Linked DNA regions of Notamacropus eugenii. The protein of the gene in region 1 interacts with the protein of each later gene in a biochemical or structural test. Links are inferred from orthologs where the notes say so. Each region holds a gene or a part of one and is shown on either strand. Other genes may lie near its edges.

What was found.
Region 2: the proteins of RNF20 (region 1) and WAC form a complex in vitro, tested with the Homo sapiens proteins (2 studies listed by BioGRID). The link is inferred for Notamacropus eugenii from reciprocal best matches to the Homo sapiens genes RNF20 and WAC.
Region 3: the proteins of RNF20 (region 1) and UBE2B form a complex in vitro, tested with the Homo sapiens proteins (4 studies listed by BioGRID, with this or other methods). The link is inferred for Notamacropus eugenii from reciprocal best matches to the Homo sapiens genes RNF20 and UBE2B.
Region 4: the proteins of RNF20 (region 1) and UBE2A form a complex in vitro, tested with the Homo sapiens proteins (4 studies listed by BioGRID, with this or other methods). The link is inferred for Notamacropus eugenii from reciprocal best matches to the Homo sapiens genes RNF20 and UBE2A.

Annotation. Positions count from the first base shown.
Region 1 is NC_092872.1:15,704,861-15,712,282, forward strand, and holds the start of RNF20 (E3 ubiquitin-protein ligase BRE1A), read left to right. Parts: upstream 1-4,375; 5' UTR 4,376-4,522; exon of another isoform or gene 4,523-5,064; intron 5,065-5,863; 5' UTR 5,864-5,902; coding exon 5,903-6,031; intron 6,032-7,422. UniProt on the Homo sapiens protein: Component of the RNF20/40 E3 ubiquitin-protein ligase complex that mediates monoubiquitination of 'Lys-120' of histone H2B (H2BK120ub1).
Region 2 is NC_092874.1:69,111,686-69,119,697, forward strand, and holds the start of WAC (WW domain-containing adapter protein with coiled-coil), read left to right. Parts: upstream 1-4,841; 5' UTR 4,842-4,932; coding exon of another isoform or gene 4,933-4,947; 5' UTR 4,948-4,949; coding exon 4,950-4,990; intron 4,991-5,332; coding exon 5,333-5,369; intron 5,370-7,106; coding exon 7,107-7,302; intron 7,303-8,012. Other genes in the region: uncharacterized protein, read right to left, coding at 4,035-4,825, 4,933-4,947.
Region 3 is NC_092872.1:340,822,064-340,829,228, reverse strand, and holds the start of UBE2B (ubiquitin-conjugating enzyme E2 B), read left to right. Parts: upstream 1-4,010; 5' UTR 4,011-4,165; coding exon 4,166-4,209; intron 4,210-7,165. UniProt on the Homo sapiens protein: E2 ubiquitin-conjugating enzyme that accepts ubiquitin from the ubiquitin-activating enzyme E1 and transfers it to a E3 ubiquitin-protein ligase. In vitro catalyzes 'Lys-11'-, as well as 'Lys-48'- and 'Lys-63'-linked polyubiquitination.
Region 4 is NC_092879.1:43,329,861-43,337,185, forward strand, and holds the start of UBE2A (ubiquitin-conjugating enzyme E2 A), read left to right. Parts: upstream 1-4,252; 5' UTR 4,253-4,554; coding exon 4,555-4,598; intron 4,599-4,773; coding exon 4,774-4,854; intron 4,855-5,200; coding exon 5,201-5,226; intron 5,227-7,325. UniProt on the Homo sapiens protein: E2 ubiquitin-conjugating enzyme that accepts ubiquitin from the ubiquitin-activating enzyme E1 and transfers it to a E3 ubiquitin-protein ligase. In vitro catalyzes 'Lys-11', as well as 'Lys-48'-linked polyubiquitination.

The DNA.
Region 1 (7,422 bases):
CTCAACCATTAAGTGTGATAGCTTTTTAAAAGTCCTCATACTATTTAATTTTTCTGTATTTTTTGGCATTGTCAGTTACCCCTCTCCCTGGTTATTTGCTCCTTCCTTAGCTTCCATGATGTTGTTCTTGCCTGAAAATGCTCAGAGCCTCTTTTTTGGAGCATCATCCATTTCTGAATGCCCCCAAATGAAGACTCAGCATACGTCCTCTTTTGTTCTCTCCCTCTTCTCACACTTGGTGATCTTATCAGTTTCCATGGGTTCCATGATCACTTGTATGAGGATGATTCCTAAATCTACATATCCAGCTTTATTATCTCTCTTGAACGTCCAAGTCCCACATAGACAACTGCCCACTGGACACTTATTTGAATGTCCTGAATCTAAAACTCAACATGTCAACAACAAAAAAATTGCTCCCTAAACCACATTCTTCTTCTATACTTCTCTTTCTCTGTTGAAGGAATCACCATATTTCCAGTTAACTGGATTCATAACCTTGGAATAATCCTTACCTCTTCTTTTTCCTTCACTCAAGTCTAACCAGTTGTGAAGTTTTGTGAATTCTACCTCTATAATATTTCCACAGTTATTCTGTTTGTCATTGACATAGCCGCTTCACCAGACTTTTACCAAATCTTGCCTGCGCTATTGTAGTAGCCTCCAGACTGGTCTCCTTGCTTCCAGTCTCTCCCATTTACAATCTATCCTCTATACAATATGAAAATTATCTTCTTAAGGAACAGGTCTATGTGCCTCCTTTCCTGAACAACTTCAATGGCTCCCTATTGCCTCTAAAATAATAAATATGGACATTTATAGATAGGACTTTATGATTTGTAAAAGACTATATATATATATATATATATATATATATACACACACATATATAAATCCATTTGATCCTCACATCCCTGCAAGGTAAATACTACAGGTATAATTACTCTCATGTTATAGATGAGGAAATTAAAGCTTAGAAAAGTTAAATTATCCATTCATCATGACATACTTATTAACTGTCAAAGGCAAGATCTGAACCCAGCTTTTTATGACTTTTAAGTCCAACACTTCTTCCATTATTCTTATTATTGCCTTGAACGTCTGAGTTTGATATTTAAAACTCTTCATAGCCTGACTCCAACCTACCTTTCCAGACTCCCATTTTACCGTTTACAATTCACATGTATTACTGATGTTCCAGAAAAAAATACACTATTTATTGTTCCTAGAAGCTACCTATGATTTCTTAATTGCCAAATCTAATGGCCTTTTCTCAATCTTTACTTTTTTACCCCTGTCTAGAATTTTACAATGTTGGTCACCGGCTTCCTTGGATTCACTACCATCTCTGAGATTTTGTAACTGCTCTCTCTTGGTCCTCTTCCTCCATCTTTGACTGTTTCTTTTGGACGTCCTTTGGTCTTTTTTTTTTTTTAATTCAATTTTCCATTCCAAATTTGCTCTCCTTTACTCATTGAGAAGGCAAGAAAAATGTAATTCATTACAAGTATGTATAGTTATACAAATCAAATTTCTGCATTAGGCGTGTGCAAAAAAAATGAAAGGAAATATATTTCAACTTTTTCTTTGAGTTCATCAACTCTCTTCTGGAGGTGGATAGGATGCTTCATTATGAGGCCTTTGAAATTCTGTTTGGTCATTACATTAATCAGAGTTTTTAAGTCTTTTAAAGTTCATTATCATTACAATATTTTTTTTTATAGCCATTGGGAGCTTTATTGACACAAAAGCAGTGGGCCTGAGATTTAGCAAGGAGCTAAACAAAGGTAGTGATATAGGAAAAGGACCAGGCTTATAGAGGATGACTTTAGGGTTTCTTTATGGGTAGTTGGAGATACAATACTGTTATTGTATAAATTATTAAGTGAGCTTCTGCTCACTTAATTTTGTATCAGTTCATAAGAGACTTCCCCGTTTTTTCTAACACCATCACTTTCATAATTTCTTATAGTATTCCATCATATTCATATAGCATAATTTCTTCAGACATTCTTCATTTGATGGGCATCCCCTCCCTTTCCAATTCTTTGCCATCACAAAAAGAACTGCTATAAATATTTTTGTACATGTGAATCCTTTTCCTCTTTCTTTGATTTCTTTAGGATATAAACTTAGCAGAAATATTGCTGGATCAAAGGGTATGCATGATTTAGTAGTTTTGGGGGCATAGTTCCAAGATTCTTGCCAGAATGGTTGGACTAATTCATGGCTCCACCAACAGTACGTTAGTATACCTATTTTCTCATATCCCCTTCAACAGGTCATTTTTTTTTAGGTCATAGTCAATTTAATGTGTATGAGTAGTACTTCAGAAATGTTCTAATTTGTGCTTCTCTGTTAATGATTTAGAACATTTTTACATGGTTTTTGATAGCTTTGATTCCATTCTTTGAAAACTGACTGTTCATATCATTTGACTTTTTATCAAATAGGGAATGACTCTCTCCTAAATTTGACTCAGTACTTTAAATATTTTAGAAATGAAACATTTATCACAAAAATTTGCTGCAAAGATTTTCCCTCAGTTCCTTATTTTTCTTTTCTTTTTAGCTATATTGGCTTTGTTTATGCAAAACATTTTTAATTTCATGTAATCAAAACTATCCATCTTACCTCTTATGAACCTCTCATTCTCTTATTTGGTAATGAAGTTTTCCCCAACCCATAGATCTGACAAGTAATTTCTTCCCTAATCCACTCATTTGCTTATAATGTCAACTTGTATGTCCAAATCATTCACCCATTTTGAGTTTATCTTGATACACAGTGTGAAATACTGGCCTATGCTTAGTTTCTGTCAGACTACTTTCCAGTTTTCCCAGGAGTTTTTGTCAAATAATGAGTTCTTGCCCCAATAGCTGGGATCTTTGGATTTATCAAACATCAGGTCACTGTGCTCATTGCTTCTGTATATTGCGCACCTAATCCATTTCACTGATCAGCCCCTCTATTTCTTACCAAATTGCTTTGATTGTAAAATAGCTAGAGATCTGGTATTCCTAGGCCCCCTTTGCAACTTCCCCCCTTTTCCCATTAATTCCCTTGATAATCTTGATCTTTAATTCCTCCAGATGAATTTTATTTTTTCCTAAATCTCCAAAGTAATTCTTTATGAGTTGATTTCTATGACACGGAATATGTAAATTAACTTCAGTAGTACTGTAATTTTTATTTTATTGGCTTGGCCTATGCATGAACAATGAACATTTCTCCAGTGACTTAGATCTGTATTTATCTGTACTAAGACAGTTTTGTCATTGTACTCATATAGTTTTTGTGTCTTGGCAAGTAGACTCCTAAGTATTTTATACCATTTGCTGTTATTTTAAATGGAATTTCTCCAACTCATCTTTCTGGATTTTCTTGATAATATATAGAAATTCCAATGATTGATGTGGGTTAATTTTATCCATTAACTTTGCTGAAGTTGTTTTTCATTAGTTTTTTCTGTTCTCTAGGGTTTTCTAAGTAAACTATTCTATCTACAAAATGATAGTTTTGTGGGTTTCCTATACCTATTCACAACTTCTTTTTGTCTTAATGCTACAGCTCACATTTCTAGTACAATATTGAATAAAGTTGTCCCAGCGGACATCCTTGCTTCGCATCTCACCTTACTGGAAATGTTTGCTCCTGGTTTTAGGGAGATACTCATCATTTTAAGAAAAGCTCCATTTATTCCTATGCTGTCCAGTATTTTTTTTAAATAGGAATGAGTGTCGTATTTCCTTAAAAGCTTTTTCTGTATCTATCAAACTAGGCATATACATATATTCTGTTTCATAGGCTCAGTTTTGCTCATAGTTTTCCTAACATTGAACCACCCCTGAATTCCTTGTATAAATTCAGCCTTGCCCTGGTGTATGATCTTTGTATTTTATTTTCCCAGTGAATACCGATGCATAATTTTAAATAAACAAAGCTCTTGGAGGTCTTTGGGTCCAACCCCCTCATTTTATAGAGAAGTTACGTGACTTGCCCAGGGTCACACAGTTAATATCTCAGTTTCCCAGTCACAAACCCAGTCACTCCTTCTCCTCAGGCTGTTCTTACCTAACCCTCGGTTGTCCTCACTACTATTCACCCTGGAGCTCCCCATCAGTCTCCCTTCCTCCATCCCCACCAGCCGTCTCCATCTCCTCAGTCCCTTCACGCTCCGCATTCCTAGGTCCCGTTAGTCTAGTGGATGGTCGGGGCATTGGCAACCACACGGCCAATAGGAAGAGAGCTTTTTACTTCTGTGGATGACGTTCACCAATCAGAGCACAAAGAGGCGGGTCTTCTGAATGAGGATTGGTGCTCACAGAGAGGAGCCGACCAACGCCTTTTCATCACCGTGCGTGGAGGAAGCCACTTCCGCCCGGCCCAGTTTGGCTTCTGGGAGGAAGGGGACATCTCTGTTCTTTCCTCCTTCCGGGATCCTGTCCCGCCTCCGGAAGTGTGCTCTGTCCCCGCCCCGGGTCAGGGGTGAGAGGCCGCCAAGTGGCCCAGGCACATTGAGGTAAGTCATCTGTTACCCGAAGTCTTATCCGGTATCCCTTTGGGAGGAGACGAGCCCCCCACCTTGACCCCCTGCGTATGAGGCCCGCCTGAAGGAGCTCGGCACTTCCGGCTCTTGCTTTAATTGCCCCGCGCCAGAGGGTTCCTGGGCGGGTGTCACCGTGAAACCGGCTTCTGCAGCTTGGCAGGGCCAGGAGCGGCAGACCCCTCGATCTCTCCTTCGGGATCGCAGCGTGTCCCCACGCCCCTGCCCCCACGCGTGTCCGCGCCCCCCTTCCCGAATTCCTGCCCCCCGGAGTCCAGCATCACAGTCCCTCCTCCGCGCTCCCCGAGTGTCCGAGCCGGGCGTGCCCGGCGCCCTTCCTGGGCCCGAGGATGCCCCCTCCCTCTGCGAATCCAACCGGCTCAGGCTGTCGTGTGCCCCCTCCCGCACCCCTTGGGGAGCCCCAGGACCGCTAACCGGCTGGGGAGCCGAGCGAGCCCCTCCCCTTGTGTTCCCACAAGGTTCTGAAGCGGTGGATTTATGGGACCCCCGCCCGAGAGGTCAGGGGGAGAAGCGGGAGGGGGCTCCCACGTCGGCTGTGGTGCCTGAGCCCTGAAGTACCTTCCCTCCTTCCTTCCTTCCTCCCTTCCTTCCTCCCCCCCTCCCTCCCTCCCTTCCTTCCTTCCTTCCTTCCTTCCTCCCTTCCTTCCTCCCCTCCTTCCTCCCCCCCTCCCACCCTTCCTTCCTTCCTTCCTTCCTTCCTTCCTTCCTTCCTTCCTTCCTTCCTTCCTTCCTTTCTCCCTTGCTTTCTCCCTTCCTTCTTTCCTCCCTTCTCTCCTTCCCTTCCCTCCTTCCCTTCCCTCCTTCCTTCCTTCCTCCCTTCCTTCCTTCCTCCCTCCCTTCCTTCCTCCCTCCCTTCCTTCCTCCCTCCCTTCCTCCCTTCCTTCCTCCCTCCCTTCCTCCCTTCCTTTCTCCCTTCCTTTCTCCCTTCTTTCTTTCCTCCCTTCCCTCCTTCCCTTCCTCCTTCCTTCCTTCCGTCCTTCTTTCCTCCCTTCCCTCCCTTCCCTCCTTCCCTTCCTTCCTTCCTTCCTTCCTTCCTTCCTTCCTTCCTTCCTTCCTTCCTTCCTTCCTTTCTTTCTTCCTTCCGTCCTTTCTCCCTTCCCTCCTTCCCTCCCTCCCTCCCTCCCTTCCTTCTTTCCTCCCTTCCCTCCCTTCCCTCCCTTCCTTCCTTCCTCCATTCTTTCTTTCCTCCCTTCCTTCTTTCCTCCCTTCCCTCCTTCCCTTCCTTCTTCCCTTCCTTCCTTCCGCCCTTAGTGTGCCTAACGTCCATGGCTGTTCTCATGTGAATTCACTTTTCAGGAAGAACCAGAAAAGTTGACAATCATCGTTTGGGTCAAAATGTCAGGAATCGGCAATAAGAGAGCTGCTGGGGAGCCTGGTACTTCAGTACCCCCAGAAAAGAAGGCTGCTGTTGAAGACTCAGGGACCACAGTAGAAACTATTAAACTAGGGGGTGTGTCTTCCACGGTATGTATGCATGCCACACACACACCTTCTTTACCCAGTACACGCTTTCTGAATACTTCTCATGTTGTCATACAAAGACTTTTGTTCTTGATCTTATAGTCCAGTAGGAAAAATAAGTTCCTTTCACAAATAGCTGTAATAGCTCAGCAGGACTCTGGGAGATGAAATTTGTCCAGGGTGGGGGAGCGGGGTATATGTAGCTGAGGGATGTATGTGTAATGAGTTAGTATTTGTTGTGAGCCTTGAAGGAAGAGCAGGTTTGCAGTAAGTGTATAGGAGGTAGTCATTCCAGGGAGGGGAATTTCAAGAATAAAGTCATAGACCAAAAAATAGATCAGCTAAGTGGTACAGTTGATAGAGGTCTCAGCCTACCTCCCAAGATTGTCCCAAGGATAAAATGACATATTTGTAAAACATTTTGCAAATCTTGAAGCCGTGTATAAATGCTAGCTATTAGCTATTATTGCTCCTTGAAATATCCATGATTCTTTGGGGGGTGGGGAGGAATGTGGAAGAGAGTATTCAGGAGTTTCTGTGGAAAAAATGCCATCGTCCTGGACACAACCTGGTGATTAAGCCTTTCAAAACTTAGCTCACCTTGTTGCTTCATGACAGGTGTGTAAGAGTCAGTCATGGAGCCTGTATTTGGAGCCTTCTAGATTTTGCTCCAGCCCTTTCTTTATTTTAATTCTGCTGCCTGTATCTTTCTGTTTTAAGTGTGTTTATTTTACACAGTATATTGTTGGATTCTAATTTCTAATTCATTCTTTTTTCTCCTTTTTTTATTGCTTAACTCATCCCATTCATATTTACAGTTATGATTACTGTGTATTTCCCTCCATCCTATTTACTTCTGTTTTTCATTCTCTCTCTCTTTAAACTGTTCCTCCTCAACAGTCTGTTTTGCTTCTGGCCGATGCCTCCCTTTTTAACCTCTAGCCCCTCCCCCCCCATATCTCTCTTCCCCTTCCCTCCTATTTCACTCTTAGGTAAAATAGATTTCTATACCCACCTGAACGGGTATATATAGTCTTTCCTCTTTGAATCAGCCATTGAGAGTGAGGCTCAAGCATTGCCACCCCATCCCTAATTTTCCCCTCCACCATAAAAACTCTTCCTTATGTGCTTCTTTTAGGTGAGGAAAATTTTCTCCATTTTGTCTTTCCGTTCCCCTGTCTTCCACTGCATTACACTTTAATACCCCTTTTTTGAGGGGAGTCCTCCCAACATAATCTACTCATGCCTGTGCCCTCTGCCTATGTGGACTTCCCTCTAACTGCCCCAATAATGATACAGTTCTTAGGAGTTACATGTATTATCTTCCCATACAGAAATATAAACAGTTTAATTTTATTGAGTCCATTATGATTACTCTTTCATATTTACTTTTT
Region 2 (8,012 bases), on another chromosome or scaffold:
TTGGCCAGTTTTTCTTCTATTTCCTTCTTCAGCTCTTCCAAGACTGCTCTTTGTGCATGTGAACAGTTCATAGTCCCTTCTGAAGTTTCAGATGGGAGTACAGTCTCAATACTGACCTCTTTGGTATTCGTGTTTTGGTCCTTGTTACCATAGAAAGATTCTATGGTCTTTTCCTTCTTGCTCTGCTTCTTCTTACTCACGATGATGACACTTTGTGTATTGTGGCCTCTGGTTCTTTCAGGTACAAGCTAATGAACCTGGTGCTGAGCTGGCTGATGTGAGAAAGCAAAGGGCAGCTGCCTTTATTTTGGTTTTGTGTTTCCCTGGATTAGCCCTGAATCTAGCTTGTTAAGTGTCGGGGAGGGGTGGTCTGGTCAGGAGAGATCTCAGCTGAGCTAGAGCAAAGGCAAGCTCAGGGGTGGGTGATTCTGGTTGCTTTAGTGTCTTCCCATTTCCCCTGAGGCATGGCTAGGCTCCTGGTGTTGATGGCTGTTGGCTCCACCCTGCTGGGGTCCTCTCCTCCGGGTTTGCTGAGATGGGGCTGTCTGGGATAGTTCAGGTCCTGTGCTGTGCTTGGCTATTTTCCTAGCCTCAGATGCTATGAGACTGTTTGCCTCTTCTGCTGATCCCACTGATCCAAGATTTTTCTGGGGAAATATTTTATGGTTCTTTCAAGGTCAACAAGGGGAGGGGAGAGAGCATTTACTGATCACTCTGCCATTTTGGCTCCCAGAAGTTCAAGTAGATGACTTACAGACATTTAATCTGTGGGCTGATGGTCTCTGGTACAGCTGCTGCAGATAGCTGGGGCTCCATCTGCAGCTCTCACTCGTTCTGCTTGACTCTCGCCCTAAGCTGCTATCCTGCTGTGCTGCTGCTTCCTCAGGCCAGGGCTTTCCTGCTCAGCCCTGCTGCAGTCTGGAGCATTGCACTGTGTGCTGTATGCTCTTCTACCCCTGTGGAACAGGACCTTCCAGTCTGTCCTGGGCTGTGAAACGGCCAAAGTTTGTCTCCTATTGGATTCTGCACCTCCAAAATTTGATCAGATTCTCTTTTTAGAGGTATCTGAGGGAGTTTGGCTAAGAGCTTAGGTGAGTAGTTGCTCTCACTCTGCTGTGCTGGCTCTGCCTCTGTGGTTCTAAAATAGATATGAACATGGTTATCAGCTGTTAAGCTCAGACTAAAAAAAATAAAATGAAAGAGAAAGAAATAAATGAGAAGATGACTGGTGGAAGCAAGATAAAGGGAATAGAATTTACAATGTGTGTGTATATCCTTTGTTGCTGAAGAAGACCATGCCATCAGAGAAATGACATGACTTGCATTTGACTTTTGTTTTGAGTGAGGGAGGGCTGTGTAGGTCACTAGCCTCACTTCTCCTCCAGAGCCATCTGAATCCAGTGACCAGATATTCATTAGGATGACTGGAGATGACCCAAGATGAGGCAGTTGGGGTTAAGCGACTTGCCCAAGGTCACACAGCTAGTGAGTGTCAAGTGTCTGAGGTGAGATTTGAACTCAGGTCCTCCTGACTCCTGCACTGGTACTCCATCCACTGTACCACCTAGCTGCCCTAGAATTTACAATATAAAAAGATGGATTAGCCTTAGTGAAAAATAGGTATACTTCTTTTGTGATCCAAGTAAAAGAAAAAGATTATTGATTTTGAGGAATCCAAGGAGGCTGAGGGAGCTTATCTGAGATGGCCTCAACCTTCCCAGAAAAATAGGACAGCTAGGTCACCAGCTGTAATGGAAGTGGTAGGTGGGGGAAGGTAGGCATGGACAGGCTGATTTTAGAATACCCCATGCTAGGGGTATAATAATAATATAATATAATACAATCTGTTTCATAGATCAAGAAGTCTAAATCCTTTGTCCTTGGGTCACACAGTCAGTACTAGAAGTGTCCATTCAAGTTTTCCTGCCCTCATACAGGATCTTAGCTGTTCTCCTGGAGGATTGCTTTTTTTTTGCAAACCAAGGCTGACTTACTAGAAAGCATCTTGCTGCTGCTTTGCCTGCTAGATCCTTATTATCACCAAGATTTTGCAGCTGCTGTGAATCTTCACCCTCCTACATTCAAGTTTTCTCCCTCTAACAGAATGAGCTCACGGGGAGGGAGGATCATCTCTAGGGAGTGGATGGAGCACTAGGAGGAGAGTCAGGAAGACTAAGAGTTCAAATCTGGCCTCACATACTTAGGAGCTGTGGGACCCTGGCCAAGTCCTTTAACTTGTTTGCCTCAGTTTCCTGATCTGTAAAATGGGGACAGTAAGGATTGTTGTGAGGAGGAAATGAAGTATTTGCAAAGTGCTTAGCAAAGTGCCTACCACATTGCAGGCACCATATAACTGTTAGCTAGTGTTTAGCACAGGGATTAGCACTTAATGAATACTTTTCCATTCCATTCCAAAAGCTGATCTAAGTAAAAGCCAAGAATTTTCTTTTGGAAACGAAACTGAGAAAAAGTAAAACTATACATAGCAATTATGAACACAGACAACAGGTTTTTATGACTTATGCGGAGTAAGGATCCCTGTAAATGGAGAAATTCCACTAATATTGTGTGGCGCAAATTACTGACATTTATATAATGCCTGATGTAATATATATTATTAACATAATGTCTTATATATTATCTTATAGAATAACTTCTATTTTAACCTCTCAGCTCTTTGTGATGGGCACAATGGTTATTCTCACTTTACAGATCAGGAAACTGAGGTTTAGCAGTTAATGATCACGCAGCAAATGAGTGTTCGGGGCTAAAGTGGAACTGAGATACTGTAAACTTCAGGTCCTTGACATTCTTTGTAAGCTCCTGGAGGGCAGAGAACCTTTATTTTTACTTTTGTATCCCCAGCACCTTGCCCAGTGCCTGACCCACAGTGACTGCCCATAAACGCTTGCTGATTGACGCTCCTGCCCTGGTTAGATTGGATAAAGTAGAAGATAAGCTAAAATACGGAGGCTAAATGTCAGTAACTGGAGGACAACTTGTAGCAAGGTGAGACTGGCAACTTTCCAAAAGGCAACATACGGTATCGATTTTTTTACTGGTACCTAGGCAGCTAGCGGCTCATGGGGTGAGCACCGGGCCCAGAGTGAGAAGACCTAATTGAAGCCCATTCTCAGACAAGTCTCCCCAACTGCAAAAGGAGGATGATGACAGCACCCACCTAGCTCCCAGGCAGCCTTGGGGCAGCGTATAAATCCTGGCTGTTCTCACTGCCTGGGTCTCTGCCAGGCCCCGATGCAAAACCGTAAAGCAAAATTTCTTTGCCTTAATATTGCGTCTCCTTTCCCACTACGTTCCAGGGCCCACTCCAGAACTGCTTAGTAGAATAACTTTCGGATAATTTTTCCAAATCAGGGAAGCAGAAAAAAAGACTCCCCCCTCCATCCCTGCTGCCCAACAGAACGGGAAATCCCAGGCCTCACGCTCCCAAAGAACCAATGGCGCGCGCCCCAAACACAGGCTGAAAATGCCGAACGTTCAGAAACACAATTCCAGACTGGATTTTATTTTTTCCCAACACATACGTCTAGAATAAGAGGAGCACTGGAGGTGAAGAAGGAAGACCAACCGGTGGGAGGAAAGCCGGGGGTGCGACTCGCATAGTTCTCGGAGGACGCAGGGGAGGCCGGCAGGGGAGGCCGGCAGGGCAGGGCCGGACCGAGGCCCCCGGCGCCGGCGGGGTACAAGGCCCGAGCCTACAGACTCCCCCGGCTGCGGGGTCGGACTGGCCATGGCGGGGCCTCAGTCCGACCCTCGTCTCCTTCCCTCCATACAGGTACCCGCATAGGCCTCGAGGCCTCCCTTCCCTCCACGCCACCTAGGGCGGACCCGGAGGCCCCGGGCGGAAGCCCCGGCGCCGACCTCGGCTTTCCTATAAATCCCTGTAGCGTAAGAGCGGCGGGGGGCTCTAAGCCGGACACAAATGTCCTTCTGGCCCTCGGGGTGAGCGCGGTCCGTACCCCCTTCCCTCCCGCAGTAGGTCCGCTCCCGCCCGCCCGGGCCGAGGCACCCACCAGCCCCTCCTCCGAGGGCAGCCGCCTCCACGGCGGGAAGCCGGTATCGAACTTCGGGGCGCACCACTGCCGCAGCAGCTTAGGCTTCCTTCGGACACACACAGAAGGCGACCAGAGGCCTCCGGCGCGCTCCGAGGAGAGGCGCAGGGGCGGAGGGGGAGGGGAGAGAGGAAGGAGGAGGAGGACGTACGCATGGGGAGGGAAGCGGCGGAACCGGAAGGAGCCGACGGGTCGCGAAGAGGCGAAGTACGCCGAGTTCGGCGTTCGGGAACAGGGAAGGGAGGGGAGACGGAGGAAGCGCTAGGGGAGGAGCGGCTTGGCGGAAACTGCCGATGTTTTCCGAAGGCGGTGGCGTCCGAGTTCCCCGGATGTAGTTGGAGGAGCGGCGGCAGCGGCGGCGGCGGCACCAACAGCGGCAGCGGCGGCGGCGGCGGCGGCGGGAGGAGGAGGAGGAGGAGGAGGCGGCAGCGGCGACGGCGACGGCGGGGGGAGGAGGTGGAGGAGAAGGAAGAGGAGGAGGAGGAGGAGGAGGGGGCGGCGGAGGAGGAGCAGGAGGAGGGGAAGGCGGAGGAAGCCGTCGCTCTCCGCTGGGCCGAGCCGGTCGCGTCTTCTTTCTCCCCCCTTCCCCCCGGTGCGCCGCTGCCGCGGTGTAGTTGGCGCCGCTGCCCCCGCCGAGAGCGAGCGAGCGAGAGACGGACGGAGCGAGCGGGCGAGCGAGCGGGAGCGAGCGTGTGCGCGGCGCCGGGGGAGGGCCATGGCCCGAGAGCGCCGGCGCCAGTAACGGAGCGGCGCTAAGACCCGCTGAGGGGGTGCTGGCCGCCGCCGCCGCCGCTGCCCGTCCGCCCGCCCGCCCGCCTCCCGCCTCCCGCGGCCCTCTCCCCCCCTCCCCGACACACACACACAGGCCGGGCATTGATGGTAATGTATGCGAGGAAACAGCAGAGACTCAGTGATGGGTAAATCCTCTCTCTCTCTATGTCTGTCTCTGGCCGGGCTGGGGCCGGGCCGGGCCGCGCCGGGGGCGGCGGGCGGGGAGGGGGATGTTCCTCCTTATCGAGCTCGGGCCGAGCCGCCATTTTTGTTGTTAACCCCGATCCGGGCCGGCCTGCGAGGAGGCGGCGGGGGCGGCCGCGGGCCGGGCCGGGCCGCCGGGGGCTCCTGGGCGCCGCCGCCCCGCGGCCGTGCGGTCGGCCCGGGCCCGTGGGCGGCCGGCCTCGGGTCCTGGGGGGCGGGGGGGGGTTCTGCTCGCCTCTCCCTCTCGGGGTGTTAATGTCGCTGTCTGTCTTCCTGTTTTTCAGCTGTCACGACCGGAGGGGGGACTCGCAGCCCTACCAGGTACCAGCCGAGTCCTAGGGGAGGGACGGCCGGGGAAGGCGGAGGGAGGGACCGACTGCTGCTACTCGAGCTTAGGCTTCAGCCGTCGGCGCAGGCCCTGCGGGGCAACGAACCCGAAACCAGCCCCCCGGAACCCCACGAAAGCCGGGCTCGGATTGGTGGAACGACTGCCCCCGGCCCGCATGGGGGGGCCCCGGAGAGCCCACGAGCCCAGCCCGGATATTTTAGCGGGGAGGGCAGAGAGGGACTAGTTTAAATTTTGGGGGGAGGGCGGTCTTCGTGAGTGGCAGCCTGCTGAAATTTTAAAAAGGCAGCGAGTTGATTCTCTTTGCTATGGGAGTGTACCAAAAGTCTGAACCCCAGTCCGGAGTGATTTCACTGCCTGTTCAGAGTAGGAGCCAGCCCTGGACACTTGGGAGCTATGTCCTGAGGAGACATCGGGGATTCGAGGGGTTTTGGTTCCTTTTCAGGGCAGCTCTTGACCAGTGTCTCATCAGAAATTACGTAGGACAGTCCTTGTGGTTCTTTGAAATGGATGACTTTTCAAAAGCTATCAAAAATGGATGACAGCTGTCAGAGGACACTTAGGGGTCTAAATGAGAGGGATCTGCAGATCCCTCAGCTAGTAATCCTCTTATTCAAAATTTCTTGACTTCTTGTGCGTTTGTACCTCAAACCAAGTAAGTTACAACGCACTACAGTGTGTCATACAGCATAATATTTGTTTTGAAGATGTTAAAGGATAGGTCATGTTTTCCTTGATATAATTGCACATTATAATAGCCTGAAACGACCTGCTTAATTCTCTAAGGAGAATGTAAGTCTGGTTCTATTACAAAGGCAGCACTTTTTCAAAGTTATCCTCTGCATTTTAATTTACCTTTAGAATTAAATATTTAATAACGTAGGATCCCAGAGTTAGAAAGGAACCTTAGGTTATTTAGCTTTAAAATTAAGTATTTAGTATCATAAGATCCCAGAGTCAGAAATTAAGTTACGGTTAATTTAAGGTTAATTCTGATTCCTTTTTTTTTTGCATGTACAGAGATGAAATTTGTGATTAAAGAGCTTCTTGTAAATGAAATCCATTGGCGCCTGTTTAGATACATAGATGAATTTTTAGGGCAGAAATGGATGACCTAGTACTCAACTATCGATTTCTTATGCTTTAACAATCCCTAGAAATGGATAATGGCTAAATTGGGTGGATAAATAGATACCAAAATGTCCAAATAATTTGGGGAATATAGACAATAGGAAATCACCATGAAACAGTAGACAGAATGCTGATAGTATATGATCAGAGGATTTAGGTTCGTATCTCAGTCTGTTGCTTATTACCTCTGTGGCAGCAGCATGCCACTTAAACTATCCTGAACTTCTGTTGCCTCATTTATAAAATGAAGTAGTGGGACTATATGACCTTTGAGTCTCTTTTGACTCTCACTGTATAGTATTATAAGGTCATTTCTGTCCCCATCCCATCTTTCCCAGAAAGGTTTATTAAGGAATGATGCCCCAAGATCGTTTCAAGCAAATATTCTGAAATATTTAAATGAGTGATTAGAGATCTCATTATTTTGAATCATTGCTATTTATAGACACATTGACTTCTTGAATCATGTTTGATTAAAATTGATGTTTTAAGTCATAAAACTTAACGAAATAAATTTCATGTTGTCATAATTAAGGACTCAAGTTAAAGGTCTGTGCTTTTCTTTGTATGATATTTTGTAGGCTCTTAAATATTCATCGAAGAGTCACCCCAGTAGTGGCGATCACCGACATGAAAAGATGCGAGACACCACAGATCCTTCACCACCAAATAAAATGTTACGACGATCTGATAGTCCTGAAAACAAATATAGCGACAGCACAGGTCACAGTAAAGCAAAAAGTGTGCATACTCACAGAGTTAGAGAGAGGGATGGTGGTAAGTAGTTTTACTTACAAAAATTTTGTACCTATTGAAATTTTTTTTTTTTTTTGGTACGGTCAATCAAAATCAATCTATGAAATAGAGAACAGAATTATGTTATTAGTGGTGAACTCTGCCACTTTTATCTCATCAGTGTTCTTTATTTTTTGGTCAGAATATTTTGATCCTTTAACTTAATCTAGAAGTAAGATGTACATTTAGAAATTGAATTGGCTTCACCAAGAAGATTCTTAACGACTATAATAGTATTATTGGTTGGGACATGAGGAGAGGTTAGGAATTGACTGTGGGTGTATATAGAAAAGAGCTCTGATTATTTTGGAATCAGGAAAATAAATAGAACCAATCTTTTCACATTTTTAAAAAAGGCATAAAATAATTTGAATTTGATTGTTTTTTTTAATTGCTCATTTTATTTAAAAGCATTCAAGTTCATATCTTTCTGATAACTTTTAAATCCTCAGAGGCAATTGAAAACCCAAGTTTGAGATATCTGTGGCAAATGTAAGCAATTGGTAACACTGAAAGTATTTCCTAGCTTTCTTTTCCACTTTCCTCATGACCCTGGAGATATCTTCATATTTTTCCCCTTATAGATAAAAATTTTTGTGAAGTAATATTTCATATTCTAATGAATGACTACTTTCTCTATTCCTGCTTACTTGACCAGTTGTACTGCTTTCAATAGTGTTGAACTTTTAATG
Region 3 (7,165 bases), about 330 Mb from region 1:
GTGAATTGATAGGGAAAAAAAAAAAAGAGGAAAAAGAGGGCCTAGCAGCACCAGATCTCAAACCACACTACAAAGCAATAATCATCCAGACAATTTTGTACTGGCTAAAAAATAAAAAGGTTGATCAGTGGGACAGATTACATAAACAATATACAAAAGCAAATAAGCACAATAACCCAGTGCCTGATAAATCCAAAGATTCCACTGACTGGCGTAAGAAGTCACAATTTTACAAAAAGTGTTAGGAAAAATAGAAATCAGTCTGGCAAATACTAGGTATAGACTGGTGTCCTATGTCTACCAAGATAAACTCCAAATGGATATATAACTTAGACGTAAAGGGTGATGTCGTAAGTAAAATAGATAAACAAGGAAAAAATTTCCTGTCAGGAAATAAGAGGAGTTCATGATGAAATAGATAAAAAAAAAACCACAGCAATTTTGATTGCATAAAATTACAAAGTTTTGCACAAACAAAACCAATGGAATTAAAATGTGAAAAGAAGGAAGTAAATGGGGGGGAAAAAACCTTTGCAGCAATATTTTGTGATAAAATTCCCATTTCTAAGATATACAGGCAACTGATTCAAATTTATAAGAAAAAGAGTCATTCTTCAACTAACGGAGTCAAGGTATATGAACAAGCAGTTTTCAGAGGAGGAATCAAAGCTATCAATAGCCATACTTAAAAAATACTTTAAATCACTAATAATTAGGGAAAGACAAAACAACTCTGAGATTCTACCTCATACCCATCAGATTGGCAAAGGGGACAAAAAATAGGACAAGTCTTTGACGCTTTGAAGGATCTGTGGTCTTATTAGTAAAGGTGCTCTCTTGGAGGAATCCATTCCTCCACATCTTCTCATTCTGTGCAGTTCTTGCCTTTGTCTTTCAGTAAATCTCCTACAGAGAACCCAGTGACTCAAATATATCTGATTTTCTAGTCCTGCCCTCTCTTGAGCTCTAGTCACATCTCCAGCCACCTTTGGGGTATCTCTACTTTGAAATTCTGCCAGCATTTCAAGATCAGTATATCTAAAACTTCACTATTTCTGTCTGTTGCACCACTATTTATTGAGTGTTCTATATTCATAACCTTAGGCTTATCTTTAATTCTTCTCTCTTCCTCACCTTATATTCCATCAATTATCAGGCAGTACTATCAAAGCCTACCTTCACATCTTTTGAATCCCTAATCTCTCTTGTCTTGCACTTTGGTCCCATATCACCAGTTGCCTGCTAGCCATCTCCATCTGGATGCATCTCAAACTCAACGTGTCTAAAATATAAGTCATTATTCCCCCCTCCCTCCAAACCCTTCTCTGGTTCATAGATTATAGATTTGATTTAAAGGCCATCTTAAGTCAAACTATTCTTTTTTGCAAGCATGGAAAATAAGGCACAGAGAGGTTAGTGTCTTGTCCAAATCCAAGATTTGCACCCTTATCTGATTCCAAACCCAGCACTCTTTTAACTATAACACAATGCCTCAGTATCCCTGTTTCTACTAATAGTATGACCATTCTTCCAGTCACTCAGGTTCATGGTCTGGACTCTTTCTTCTCCCTTAATCCCCATATCCAATGAGTTGCTAAGTCTTGTTATTCCCATTTCCTCACCTCACTCATATCCATCCTCTCTGCTTGACTCATACAGCCTCTTCCCTAGTTCAAGCCCTTATCACCTTTTGTTTTGTTTATAATAGTTTCCCTAATTGTATCCCAATACTTTCAGTCTCTCCCTTTTTTAATCCATTCTCAATGCAGCTGCCAAATTCACATTCCTAAAACTCATCTCTTGTCAACCCCCTACTCAAGAATCTTAAATGCATCTTTGTCTCCAGGATAAAATGCAAAATCATTAGTTTGGCATTTGCAGCCCTCTGCAATATGGTTCCCACTTACATTTCTAGTTTTCTTTCATCTTATTCCCCTTACCATCTCCAATCCAATCAAACCGATCTACTAGTAACTGAAGCAAATACTCCAACTTTTATCTCCATCCCTTTGCACAGCTGGTCATCCTGTTTCTAAAGGGCACTTCCTCTATATCTCCGTCTCAGAGACTGAATTTCCTTCAAAGTACAGCTCAGGTGCCATCTCATACATAAGGCCTTTTCTAATAGCACTCTTTCCACCTTGAAATTATTTTGTATTCAGTACTCAGTCAACTAGAATTTATTAAACACAACCTACGTGCTAAGCACTGGGGATACAAAGGAAGGCAAAAACAAAAAAAACAATCCCCTCTACTCCTAAGGAGTTCACAGTCTAAATGGGGAAACATGTAAGTAACTACATACAAACAAAATATAGACAGGATAAATTGGAGGTCAGCTGAGTGAAGACATTAAGATTAAGAAGCACCAGGAAGGCTTCTTGCAGAAGGTAGGACTTTAGCTAAGACTTCAGGAAAGCCTGTGAAGCTAATGGAAGGAGACTAGAAGAGAGCTTTCTAACCTTGGGGGGGACAAGCCAGTGAAAACTGGATCCTACCTTTATTTACTAAGTGTCTTTCAAAAAGTCTATTATAAAAATCTATTAATAAGATAGACTCTGTTTATATCCTTTATCATTTCCAGGCTCCTGATAGATGGAGAATTCCACTGGGACGCGGATTATACCGTAATTATCTTTGTATCTCACAGGGATCTTAGTTAGCTTTGCATCTCTCCTAGCACCTAGCATGTGCCTTGCACACAGTACTTATTAACAAACAGTTCTTGAACAAATGAAAAACACAAGACACAAAACACAATATTATATCAAATGCCAACCTTCTATCTTCCGACTTTTTTTTTTTCAAAGCAGAATCAAGGCTTTCTTATAGACAAAATCCACGAATTGTGATACAAATCCTCGAATGAAATAGTGCTCATTCAAGAAAAAAAGACATTATGCCTGAAATTCTAAGATAATTTGAAAACACACACACGCACACACCACACACACACCCCCCCACGCACGCACCTCCCTGGGGTTTCCAGCTCCAGAATGACCTCAGCGCAGAACAGAAGATGTCCACGCACACTGGGACATTTTATTCTTCTTTGTTGGAAGGGCGTACAAAAGCTCTTCCTCTCTACTACCGCCCTACAGGGGGATACACCGAAATCACTTTTCAACAGCCTGAGAATATTTTTATTCTGGCCTGGTTTTTCTTTTTTGGGGGGAGGGGAGGGCTAAGCCTTAAATTATATTGACACTACATTAAAGATTTTAAAGAAGCCCCTGGCTCAGGGCGGGTCCGTGTCCACCTTCTGAAAACTAACCAACCTAGTTAAATTTGGAGTCTCGATCAGCAGGGGGCCGCTAGGCAGGGACTTGTTCCGCCCCAGGAACTCTCAAGAACAAGAGGGCAGCGACGTGCGCCCGGAGAGGGAGTGCCCGCGACGACCAAGTCCCCAGGTCTTGAAGGCAAAGAGAAGGGCAAGCCTTCATTCCGACCGAGCAGTGCGTCTGCTACCTCCTGACCGGCGGCAGGACAACAGCCGCGGCTCCCGGTGGGGGACGAGGCAGCTCTGTTCCCGAAGAGAAGGTTCTTCCATCACTGCGGAACTGACCACTCTCCTCGCAACTTCACGGTTCCAGTACCTTCTCTGAAACAGTTCGGCCTGCGTCACAGGGCCACGTGGTCTAGTTCCCTCCCCACCCCCATCTGAATTGTTGACAGCATCACCGAGTATCACGTGATCTGACGTCATCGTCCTTCCTCTAGCCCGAAATCTCAGGAGCTAGCTGCATCACCCTCTCCAGCATCTCCGACTCCTCCCCACTCGGACGAGTCTAAGATTGTATCAAGGGGGAACTAGTACAGAATTGCTCGTGATACGGCTTCTGTTACTTACTATGCAAAGGAAATGAGGCCAATATAAGGAATATTGCATTGAAAAATAGTGATACAGTCAAAGACTCTATATTTTTCTGACGAAGGATGCAGAATTCGTTCAGACTCCTCCCTTTCCTCCCCCTCCTACAAAGTCGCCATAGTGGTACAGGCGGAGGGCGGAGGGATCTTTTGTGCAGCGGAGGAAGAAGTCATTGCGGGTTGTTTGTGAAGCTTTGGCGGTGGCGGTGCTCCTGAGTGCTACGGCCGGGGGGGTGGGGGGTGGGGAACTCGGGACTCTTTTCTCTCACACAGACCGCGGGGGAGCGGGGGGATCATGTCGACCCCGGCCAGGAGGAGGCTCATGCGGGACTTCAAGCGGTAACTGCCCCCAGCAGATGTCCCTGTCCTATTTTCTCGCTGTCTTCCTCTCTTCCCCGAAGCCTTTGGGCAGAAGAGGAGACTGGAGACCAATCCCGGCGCGGCCAGGCCGCAGGGCACCTTCCTTTTAGCTCCGACGCGGCCTGGCCTGTCTTAGATCCCGGGTTGGGGCTGGGGGTCGGGCCGGGTTTGAGGCGGCTCCTCACCGGAGCTCGCTGCACTCTCTCGTCCTTCGGTTCCAGGCCTAGGGAATTCCCATTTTTTCCTTCCCTTTCCTAGGTGAAAACGGAGCTGAGGGTGGGGGCAGGGGACTGCACAGGCCTCCAGCGTCGCCCACTTCTCCATCCCCATCCGTAGAAGGGGGCGTCCGACACCCCCGGGTTTGGGGAACGGAGGAGGGCCTGTCCGAGCCTCGTTTGTTTTTGTAATAGAGGAAGGTGATCGGACACCCCCAGGTTTGGAGCCGGGGGGAGGGGGAAGGGGAAGGAGCTGACTTCTTTGCCTGCCTGGGTTTCATTTGTTATTTTAATGAGGCGAATGTCGGGTGACACCCCCAGGTTTGTACGGGAGGGGTTATGTCTCTTCTTTCCCCCCCACCTCCTTCCTCAGGTTCTATTCTTTTTGTATGCCCTAGCGGGGTGTCCTTTTCTCTGGAGGAGGCTCCCCTTCCCCCAACCGGAATCTTAATTCTGTGTTTTTCTAATTGAATCCCACATCCCTTCTCCCGTGTTGGGGCTGGGCCAGAGCTACCCCTGTCCCTTCCGTGAGGGTGGAGAAGTTGGTGGAAGCTGGAGTCTAATCCTCTTCCTCTCTTCCTCCTCTTCCTCCTCTTCGTCGCCCCCCTCGGGAAAAAAGGGCAAAAACAAAAACAACCTTGCTGGGTGCTGAGCCAGCCCAAACCTCTGGTACCAGTCCTTGGAAGAGCTAGTTAGGGGTCTGTCGGGGATCAGCTCATTCTCTCCAGATATTCCATTTAGTTACGTGGAGAAATGTTGGATAAATCTTTGAACTAGTAACTTTTAAGGTTAGAAGAAATGCCTTTCCTGCCAGTACTGAAGGTGACAAGCACCTGGGTCCCCTGTAGTACATTTAGATTTTATTTTAGGATTTTTATCTGTTGATAAGGATGGGATTTTTGACAAAGTAGATTTTTTTCCAAGTCATTTACTGACCTTTGCAAACACTTGGAAGATACATAGGAATATAAGTAGTGAGGAAATGTCTTACTTGAGCCTTATCTTTTCCTCAACATTTTTTTCTTTTTGCTTAAAAGAGAAGTGTTTTGAGATGACTTCTTTGATCTGGAGAAACCTGCGTTGTTTGTCACAAAGTTATTTTATTAGTTACTTAAAAATTAGAGTGCTTTCACCACACCCTTTTAAGTTCTCAGGTGAAGTGCTTGAGAGATTTTTTTCCTTAAGTATGAACCAGTTCTGTCTCTTCTTCAGACTGAGCTGTTCTGGGTGCCTTTTCCCTAGGGGAAAATGGAATGATTCTGCTTAAATGCTACTAAAAATTTTTTTAGTATGAAGATAAATACTTACGTGCAAAGCATTGTACAATTTGCAACGATATTTTACAAGTAAAACTTTATAGCTTTATAGCCCTGCATTGAAGCTTTTAAAAGAGGGTTACCTGAATAAGGGGCAAAGTAGGTGGTTGTTAACTCCATATCCTATTTGTCTTTGTTCTCTTATTGGAAGGTAACACACTTGATGAACTTTGCAGAAAAATTAGAAGAGTCACCTGTATAATGTACTCAGCTTTTGGATTTTTTTTAACATCTTTAAAACATTTTATGGTTCAGATATTTCATTGGTTAGTTTTTTTTGACAATTACCTTAAGTAATAGGTTTCCAACTTGGGTTCCAGGTACTGAGCATTTTTAAAAATTTTGCTTTGGATACAGCTTAATTCTGGCAACAAAACTTTTTATGTACTACATTTCTAGATGCCAAAAAAAAATTGTACCTTTAGGAGCTTGCTGGAGTTAATTAGCAAGAAGTTGTGGCCATTATGGAAGATATATCAATCCTGCCACTTAGCTTGCTGATTGTCTACTGAACTTGCTTAAGAGGCTATGATGTTTATCCATAAGGGGGGGCGGGTAGTGAATTGGAAAGTGTCAATTATAAAAGGGAAATAAATATGCACTACTTGCATATGAAAACTTCAGCTTCCTGTAGTTGCACTGTCCTTGTTGTCCATTGGGCGCTGTTGTTCACCAGCGTTGTATCCTGGGGTAGCTTCATTATTCTGAACTTTGACTTGCTTCTTCAGGAACCTTACTCTTCTTAAAAGCCACACCTTGCTGAGCAGTTGAATCTACCCTTTAAACGCTGGCTATTTAGAAACTCTTTACTAGACTCTAACCACCTAATTAATTAGCTGCTTGACCCTGGAAGAAGCACTTAATTTGTTTGAGCCTCAGTTTCTTGTCTAATTGTAGAATAATGGTAGGTACATTAATTTGTAGTGCCCATTAGTGTTAGGGGGATTAAATGATATAGATGTATATGAACCGATTTGTCCATAAAGCCTTGTTCATTCCATTTGTTGCCATTTTTGTGTAGCTGTTTTGTTTAGAATCATAGTGCTCACAAAGTCATTACTAGTGTAAGAGACTACTATTTACTATTTACAACTCCATCCTGCACCATTATGTACAAAATAGCCTTTTCAGTTGTGAGAGCTGTGAGATAAAATTTTAAAAGGTAATGTATCATTTAGTGATACTATACTCAGAAAAAGCATTGTTACCTTTTCTTCTAATCTAGGCTTTCTTGTACTTGCAACCTCTGTTTGGTTCCTGCCTAATTAAATTTAGGAGACTGGCAGCCAGTAAACCACAAGAGCTCATAATCGGGGAGCAGCCCAATGCTGAGTGAACTTGACCCAGAGGAAGGTCTGGTTGTTAGTCTAGTCCCAACACATTCACTTTCCAGACTCCTGGGGT
Region 4 (7,325 bases), on another chromosome or scaffold:
GACAGAGCCTCCCACAGTTACCTCCTCCCATATTTCAAAACCCTCCCTTTTGTGTTCAGGTCAGGTTTGAGTGGAAGGCTTAGGACAAAACTAAATCTCACATCTCGGCCTGAGCATTCGCTCTAAACCTGAGAAAGGCCCTTCAGAGAAGCTTAATGTTGGGGACTGAAAGATGATTTGGAGTCTAGTCAGGCCTGGGTGTCTGCCAGGGGCCTGTTGGAAGCTACAGAGGAAATGACAGGGATGTTTTTAGAATGGAAAATGATATCATTCCTTGGCCCCCTCCCTCTAGAGGGGGCACCCACAAGAGGCTATTTGAATGGGCACAGAGATGTCAAGGTGGGATGGGGGTGGTAGGGGCTTTGCAGCCAACAGAGCTATAGTTAGGCTGTACCCGCCTGGTGATTGTTTGCTTGAGAGAGTTCTGCCATGGGCCCATTCACTATAGCAACCCTGCTTCTGGGGAGGAGCGTGGGGGCACATTCTTCCTGAGGCACAGTCCCTTTCTGAAATCCGGCTCTGCTGGCCACACACAGGGAGGCCACACACAGAGGCTTTGGGAACAACTTGAGCCAATGTCTCTGAGGTTTTGTTTTGTTTTGTTTTTTTTGTCAGGTAGTCCAAGGGAGGAAGGAAAAATGCCACGTGGAAGAGAGGCAAACCCATCAATCAATCAATCAGCATTATTAAGCTATGTACCGGACACTGTTGGAATACAAAAATAAAAGTGAAATATCAGAAACATGAAGCATGCAGATCGCTGCAAACCATCTCATAGTCATTGGTGGATAGGTAGGCATATTAACCAGCGCTAGGCCTCCCCGTCTTTTTCATGCCACCCCCTCCCCCAGTCAGTCCTCAAAAACCTATTTTTGTCATGACACTCACCCTTGTCCAAGGACCTATAATGGCTCCCTACCAAACAGAAAATTCTCAGCCTAGCGTTCTAAGGTCCATTATCAAGTATCGCCCCCCCCACACTCCCCACCCCTACTCCACCCCCAGTTGCTTTGCCAAGTCCAGCTCTCATTTCTCCCCAGGGAGTTCTAGTCAGGCTAATATGCCTTCCCATTCTCTCCACATGACTGACCTCCATACCCTCTATAAGTTATGTTCCTTAGTACATAATAAATGCTTGATATTTGTTTAATCAGGGCAGTGAGGTGCAGTGGAGAAAAGGTTGAATCTGGAGTCAAAGGGCCTCAGTTTGAATCCTCCCTGAGCCTTAGTTTCCTCTTCTGTAAAATGAGGGAGTTGGACCTTTGAAGTTCCTTTCAGCTCGAGATCTAGGATCCATTCTGAAAAGGGAGGTGGTGAACAGTATCAAATACTGCAGAGGGATGAAGACAGCAAGACTGAGTAAAAACCATTGGTTTTGGCAACTTGTCAGTGAACTTTGAGAATAAATTAGTTTTATTTTATTTTTTAAAAATCATTTTATTGATGCCTTTTCTTTTTCCAGTACAGTCATTTCAGTATATACCCATTCATTCCATCATCAAATTAGTGATGTAGCCAAGAAAATATTAAAACTTTTAAGTAAAGCCAACCAACATGGTGACTATGTTTGACAGCGTATTCGACATCCCACTTCCCAACTTTCCCCTCTACCGAATGGAGAGAGGTGTTTCTTCACCTCATCTCCAGGGCCAAGACTGGTCCTCTCCATCTCTCAGTCTTCAGTTTTGTTGGTTTTCTTTATTTTAATTATTTATAATATATAATTCATTTTCATCTCTGCTTATATTCTTTTACTGATTCTGCTTATTTCCATCTGCATCAGTTCATACAAATCTTTCCACGTTTGAAAGAGCAATTCCTGTAGAGAAAGTTTGGATAGGGGGAGATAGCAGCTAGATTTCAGGAGTCTGGGAGGTGAAGCCGAAGAGATAATGAATGAGTGTAGAAGACTTTTTCTTTTTAATATCTGCTGATAGCTTTTGTTCTTATATCACGTTCATTTCCAAAAATTCCATTTCCCCTCCCAGCCCAAGAGAGCTGGCCATCCTTGGAAACAAAGAATACAAAAAGGAAAAAAAAAAGTACTTTGTCAAAACTGAGGCTAAGAGTATATGCCCCACACCTACAATGAAGGGAGGCAAGTGCCTTTTATCTGTACTTCTGTCAAATTTTCCAGGAAAAGTAATTTATCAGAAGAGAAAAGTTACCATAGTGAGTGTGATTAGTTTTGCTGAACTGTTTTTCTTATCCTCTTTCTTTTAAATTATTTGTAAGAAAGGATAGCTCCCTGAGGAGAGCTGTGTGACCCAGAGTGAATCATTTAAATTTTAATAGCATTTACCTCACCAAGGCTTTGAGGATCTTTAGAATGTAAGCCCCTTTCGGGCAGAGATGGTGTCACTTTTGTGTTTGAATCCCCTGAACCTAATTAGCCTCTAGTAAATGTTTATTGATAGCTTAAAGCTTGATCAAAGGGGATAACCCATTTGTAAAGCCCTTTGCAAAACAGAAAGTTCCTTAGAAATGCTAATTACTTGGTGTAATTGACTGTTACCACTCAGCTTGGTCAGTTTCTTTTTTATGGGTAACTCATCCCATGTTTTACTTTCGCTTAAAATCTCCTTTGGGTTGTTGATTCAAATTTCTAAGATAAAGAGCTATTCCCCAGTAGATAAAAATGGTCTAAGGATCTGAACTGACAGTTTTCAGAGGGAGAAATCAACAGCTTTGAAAAAAAAAATGCTCTAAATCACTAATAGAGATATACAAATTAAAGCAACTTTGAGGCTCCACCTAGCAAAGATGACCAAAAGAGGAAAATGATAAATGCTAGAGGGGATATGCGAAGACAGGTACACCAATGCACCGTTGGTGGAATTGTGAATCGGTCTAGCTATTCTGGAAATCAATTTGGAAGTGAGCCCAGAGAGTTACCAAATTGTACATGCCCTTTGATCCAGCAATGCTGCTATTATGCCTATACCCCAAAGAAATTGAAGAATTCAAAGTGTCTATGTGGACTAAAAATATTTTTAGTAGCTACTTTATGTGGTAGCCAAAAATTGGAAACTAAAGGGATAGCTTCCTATTGGAGAATGGCTAAAAAGATTGTGGCTTATATGTGTGATGGAATGTTACTATAACAGAGGAATTAAGAAATGGCCGGTTTCAGAGCGGAACTAGACCAACTTATCCAAAGACAGCATTATAGACAGAAACAATTTTGACTGTAGAACTCTGAACAACGCAATGACAGATCACGACTCCAAAAACAAAACAAAACAAAACAAAACAAAAAAACAAAGCTGAAATGAGCCACTCACCTCCTGAGAGGGGATAACTTTTTTTTTTGGACGTGGCTAATGCAGGAATTTGGTTTTGCTAGTTTATGTAGCTATCTATTAAGAGATTTGTTTTTCGAGGTTTTTTATGCGCTAATGGGGGCAGAGGTAAGGGGAGGGGCAGAATACTTTTAAAAAAAATACTTGTTATTTGAAAATAAAAATAATAAACTAAAAAAGGGACGGGGTGGCAGAAGTTCCTTTGTAACAATACTTTGTAAACAATTCTTTCCCATAACTGCTAGCCCCTCTCTCGCCTGCTGCTCTCCAGGCATCCCTCCGGTTCCTGGACAAGACATATCCAACTCTGTTATTGAGTCCGTGGGCCCAGGATGGTTCTCCTGGTTACCAGTGTTTGTAAACGTGGCTGCAGAGTCACAGGGTTGGGACAGAGTGGATGCTGGCTCCATTTCTGTCCCCTCTCCCTCTCCACCTCAGGAGATCTCCCACACTGACTCCCCATACTTGGGGCGGTAGGGTATAGTTTCACCCCCCCGGGGCCTCCCCCCCCCCCCCCCCATCAGTAGATTAACTCGAACTGTCTCGAAGAGTTCACTCCTTTTCCTCGGTCCCCTTTGATGTCAATGGTACAACCCTTCTCCAGGATCTCTCTGCCTTGTTTCGTGGGTGTAAGTAAAGCTGGAGCTCTGCTTTCCCCAGCCCCGCTCCAGGCTTGGCTGGCGGGCCAGCTTATACCCCCCTGAGAACTCCTTTCACTGAATGGTACAGCCCCAGTGTTTCTGTGGAAGCGCCCTAGAGCCGGAGGTTGGCGGCAGCGGCGGGGAGGGGGGATTGATGTAGAACTAAAAACGTCCTTCCATAAAAGCACCAGTACTGCCCCTCCTTCCCTTTCCCTGGAGTTGCACTGTTAATTATTGCTTTTGTGAGCTTGCTCATCCCCCCACTCCACCCCCTTCTGGTGACTTCGCACAGCTTTTGTCACCGCCTTCCACTCGTCCTCCCCCGCGCCTCAGCAGTGGTGCAGCCTTCTCCTCCTCTGTCTCCCCTCTGGGGCCACTCGGGTTGGTATTGGCCCTCCCTCCTCTGGGCCAGGGGCTCCAGCGTTCCCGTCGGAGTCCGACTCTGCGCCGGCTGCGTCTCCTCTCGATCCTCCTCCTTCTCCTCTTCCTCCTCCCCCTCCTCCCCCTGCCCCTCCTTCTCCTCTCCAGCCGCCGCCTCATCCTCCTCCTCCTCCTCCTGCCGCCCGGCCGCTGGTCTATGCCCCACCCCTGAGCCCGCAGCAGTCCGCGACATGTCCACCCCGGCTCGGCGGCGCCTCATGCGGGACTTCAAGAGGTGAGGAGGGGCGGCGCGGCTGACCGGGGGTCGCGGGATGCGGGGCGGGGTCCCAGCCGGGGGCACGGGCCAGGCCGGGAAGGTCGGATCGGATCGGGCCGGGCCAGAGGGGCCTGACCGGGTCGGGCCGGGCAGGGCAGGGCAGGACTGAGCTCCACTTGCGCTCCTTCCGCAGGCTGCAAGAGGACCCCCCTGCCGGGGTCAGCGGAGCCCCGTCCGAGAACAACATTATGGTGTGGAACGCGGTCATTTTCGGGTGAGTCCGCCGGGGGAGCCCTGGGGCTGGCGGGCGCGCGCACGGGCGAGCGGGAGGCGGGGGAGGAGGAGGGGGCCAGGGAAACTGACTGGAGCGGGACGGGACGGAACGGGAGGCAGGGTGCGCGGGGCCGGCCTCTGGGCCGTCCCGAGCCTGGGGCTGGAGTGCCCTGCCCGCGGGACTGGGAAGGAAGCCGGAGCGGCTCGCCGTGCCCGGAGATGCCAGCAGGGGCCTCCCCGGCTAAGGGCGGGCGGGGGGCGAGGGCAGCTGGGTGCCCCCCTGGGAGCAGGTACTTCGTGCGGGAACAGCCGGCACTGACTTAGCCTTGCTTCCCCCTCTCTTGCAGGCCCGAGGGGACCCCGTTTGAAGATGGTAAGGAGCGCTATCCTTCCTCCCTTTCAGAGCCGGCTGTTGAGCTGGGGAAGGAGTGGGTCCCCATGCAGTCAGCCCCGTCCCCCTCTTTCTTCTCTACCTCCTGCAGGCGAGAGTAAGCTGCCCTTGTATGGCAGGTTGTTCAGGCTGCTGACCACCTGACTCCAGTTTTGGTACCTTTTATCGGGGCTTGTAAAGGGGGCACTAGAGCACAACTGTTCATTTTTGTAGTGTGGGTACTGTATATATGGCTGGCCCTGCGGAAACCGCCTGGGCTTTCAAACTCATTTCCACACGCGTCATGGACTCTTAAAAGATAGTGGGGACCATAAAGGTTGCCGATGTCATTCATGCTCTCACTCACTGCCAGAAAAACCCCTTCTATTTGTCTTAACCTCTCTTCATCCCCATCACTTGAAGGACTGTCATTTCTAACACATCCTCATTCTCAGGGAGTAGATAGGATACTTTTTTCAGGTATTTGAAACATTGTCCAGGCTTAGGCTAGTTCGTTGTGAACTCAGAGGACAAGGACAAGGATCCCATGGGAAAGGCTGCAAAGAAGTAAACTTCGTAACAATTACAGGGAGTCATAGTTAGGAGGCCTTCTCATTGGAGATAGATTATGTGGAGTCTGAGGATCCTTCCAACTCTGAAATTCTGGGATTTTTTTCATTTTTTGCCAGACTAACCTAAACACAGTTTAACTGTCCCCTTTAATGACCAATTAAGGTAAAAATACTAGGTGATCCCCAAAGTCTTAATACAGTTTTAAATTATTGAATATTTAACAATCAAAGCTTTTGTTTCGTAAATGTTACATTAGTTGGTGGAATCCACCATCAAATCTTAAATTAGTTTTCATTTAACGCTGCATCTTGGTGGTGAAAGTGTCTAGTACTAATGTCATTGGGCACTTGAATATTTCAAGGTACTCCTTTCTTTACTCCTTGCCTCTTCAGGTACTGTTTAGTAAAATAAAAGTCCTAAAATAAAAAGAAGTGATAGAGCATAAGAAGGCAGTTTGCAGAAGCCAGGTTGAATAGAGTTGGCCTCTGAGGCAGGGTGACCTGGGTTCAACTCCGGCCTCTGACTGGCCAGACTTTGTCAACCTAGGCAGGTCACTTATCCTCACTTAACCCCAGGGCATTGTAGATCAGCATTGGTAGAAGTAGTTTCTTCATCCAGAGATCCCTATACCAAAAAAATCACAGGTCTGAAAAATCAGTTGAATGCTTTCTTCTATAACTTGTGTTACTTGTACCCAGATTTAATTTTTCACTAATAGATTTGTGTCTCATTCTTTCAACTTAAGCTCTCTGTGCACATTAACAGTGTGTATTTGTTTGAGTAGCTGAGCTCTCCCAGCATTTGTTTTGGTTGACTTCCCATCTCATTTTCCTCAGAAAGCATTTTGCTGACAGCTTTATTGTACAGCAAGCACCGATGAGAGTTTAGCTATTTCACAACTGTGTCTGACTTTGGAGAGGGGGGTGGGGGTAGGGGTGGAAAGAATTTCTTATCTACCTGGACCTTAATAATAATGTCTATGTTTGTGATGATGTGATAAGTCCATACTGACCTCAATATTAGGTCTGAAAGGCACTGCCCATGTTGAATATGTCTAATTTTTTTTCTACTTAACAATCGGTATCTTTATGTACATGCTATACTTCCTCAGGTATTTAAGGTTACTAACTACCTGTGGCTATCTATCTGACAGTTTGTCTATCTGTGTGATGTTTTTACCAGTCTATGAATGCTCATTTATCAGAGAAAAGATTTACATAGAAAACACTGACCTATCTACTGCATTATTGCCTTTGGCCATTTCAAATGTATTATGGAAATAAGGAGCAATAGGAAATGTCTTAAATAGTTCTTAATCTACCCTTACAAACTTCAGAGTTTACAGGGTCTTACTGATCGGTCTCTGGAAGTTTCTGGAATGACCAGTTCCTAAAGGAAAGTGCAGTTTGAGCCTGAGGGAGCAAAAGAGAGAGGCTGTTGAAGTTATTTTGAAGTGAGATAATGTCTCATCATCTAAATGAATGCAGATATTAGACAATACTTTAGATCACAAAAAAATTGGCACTAGA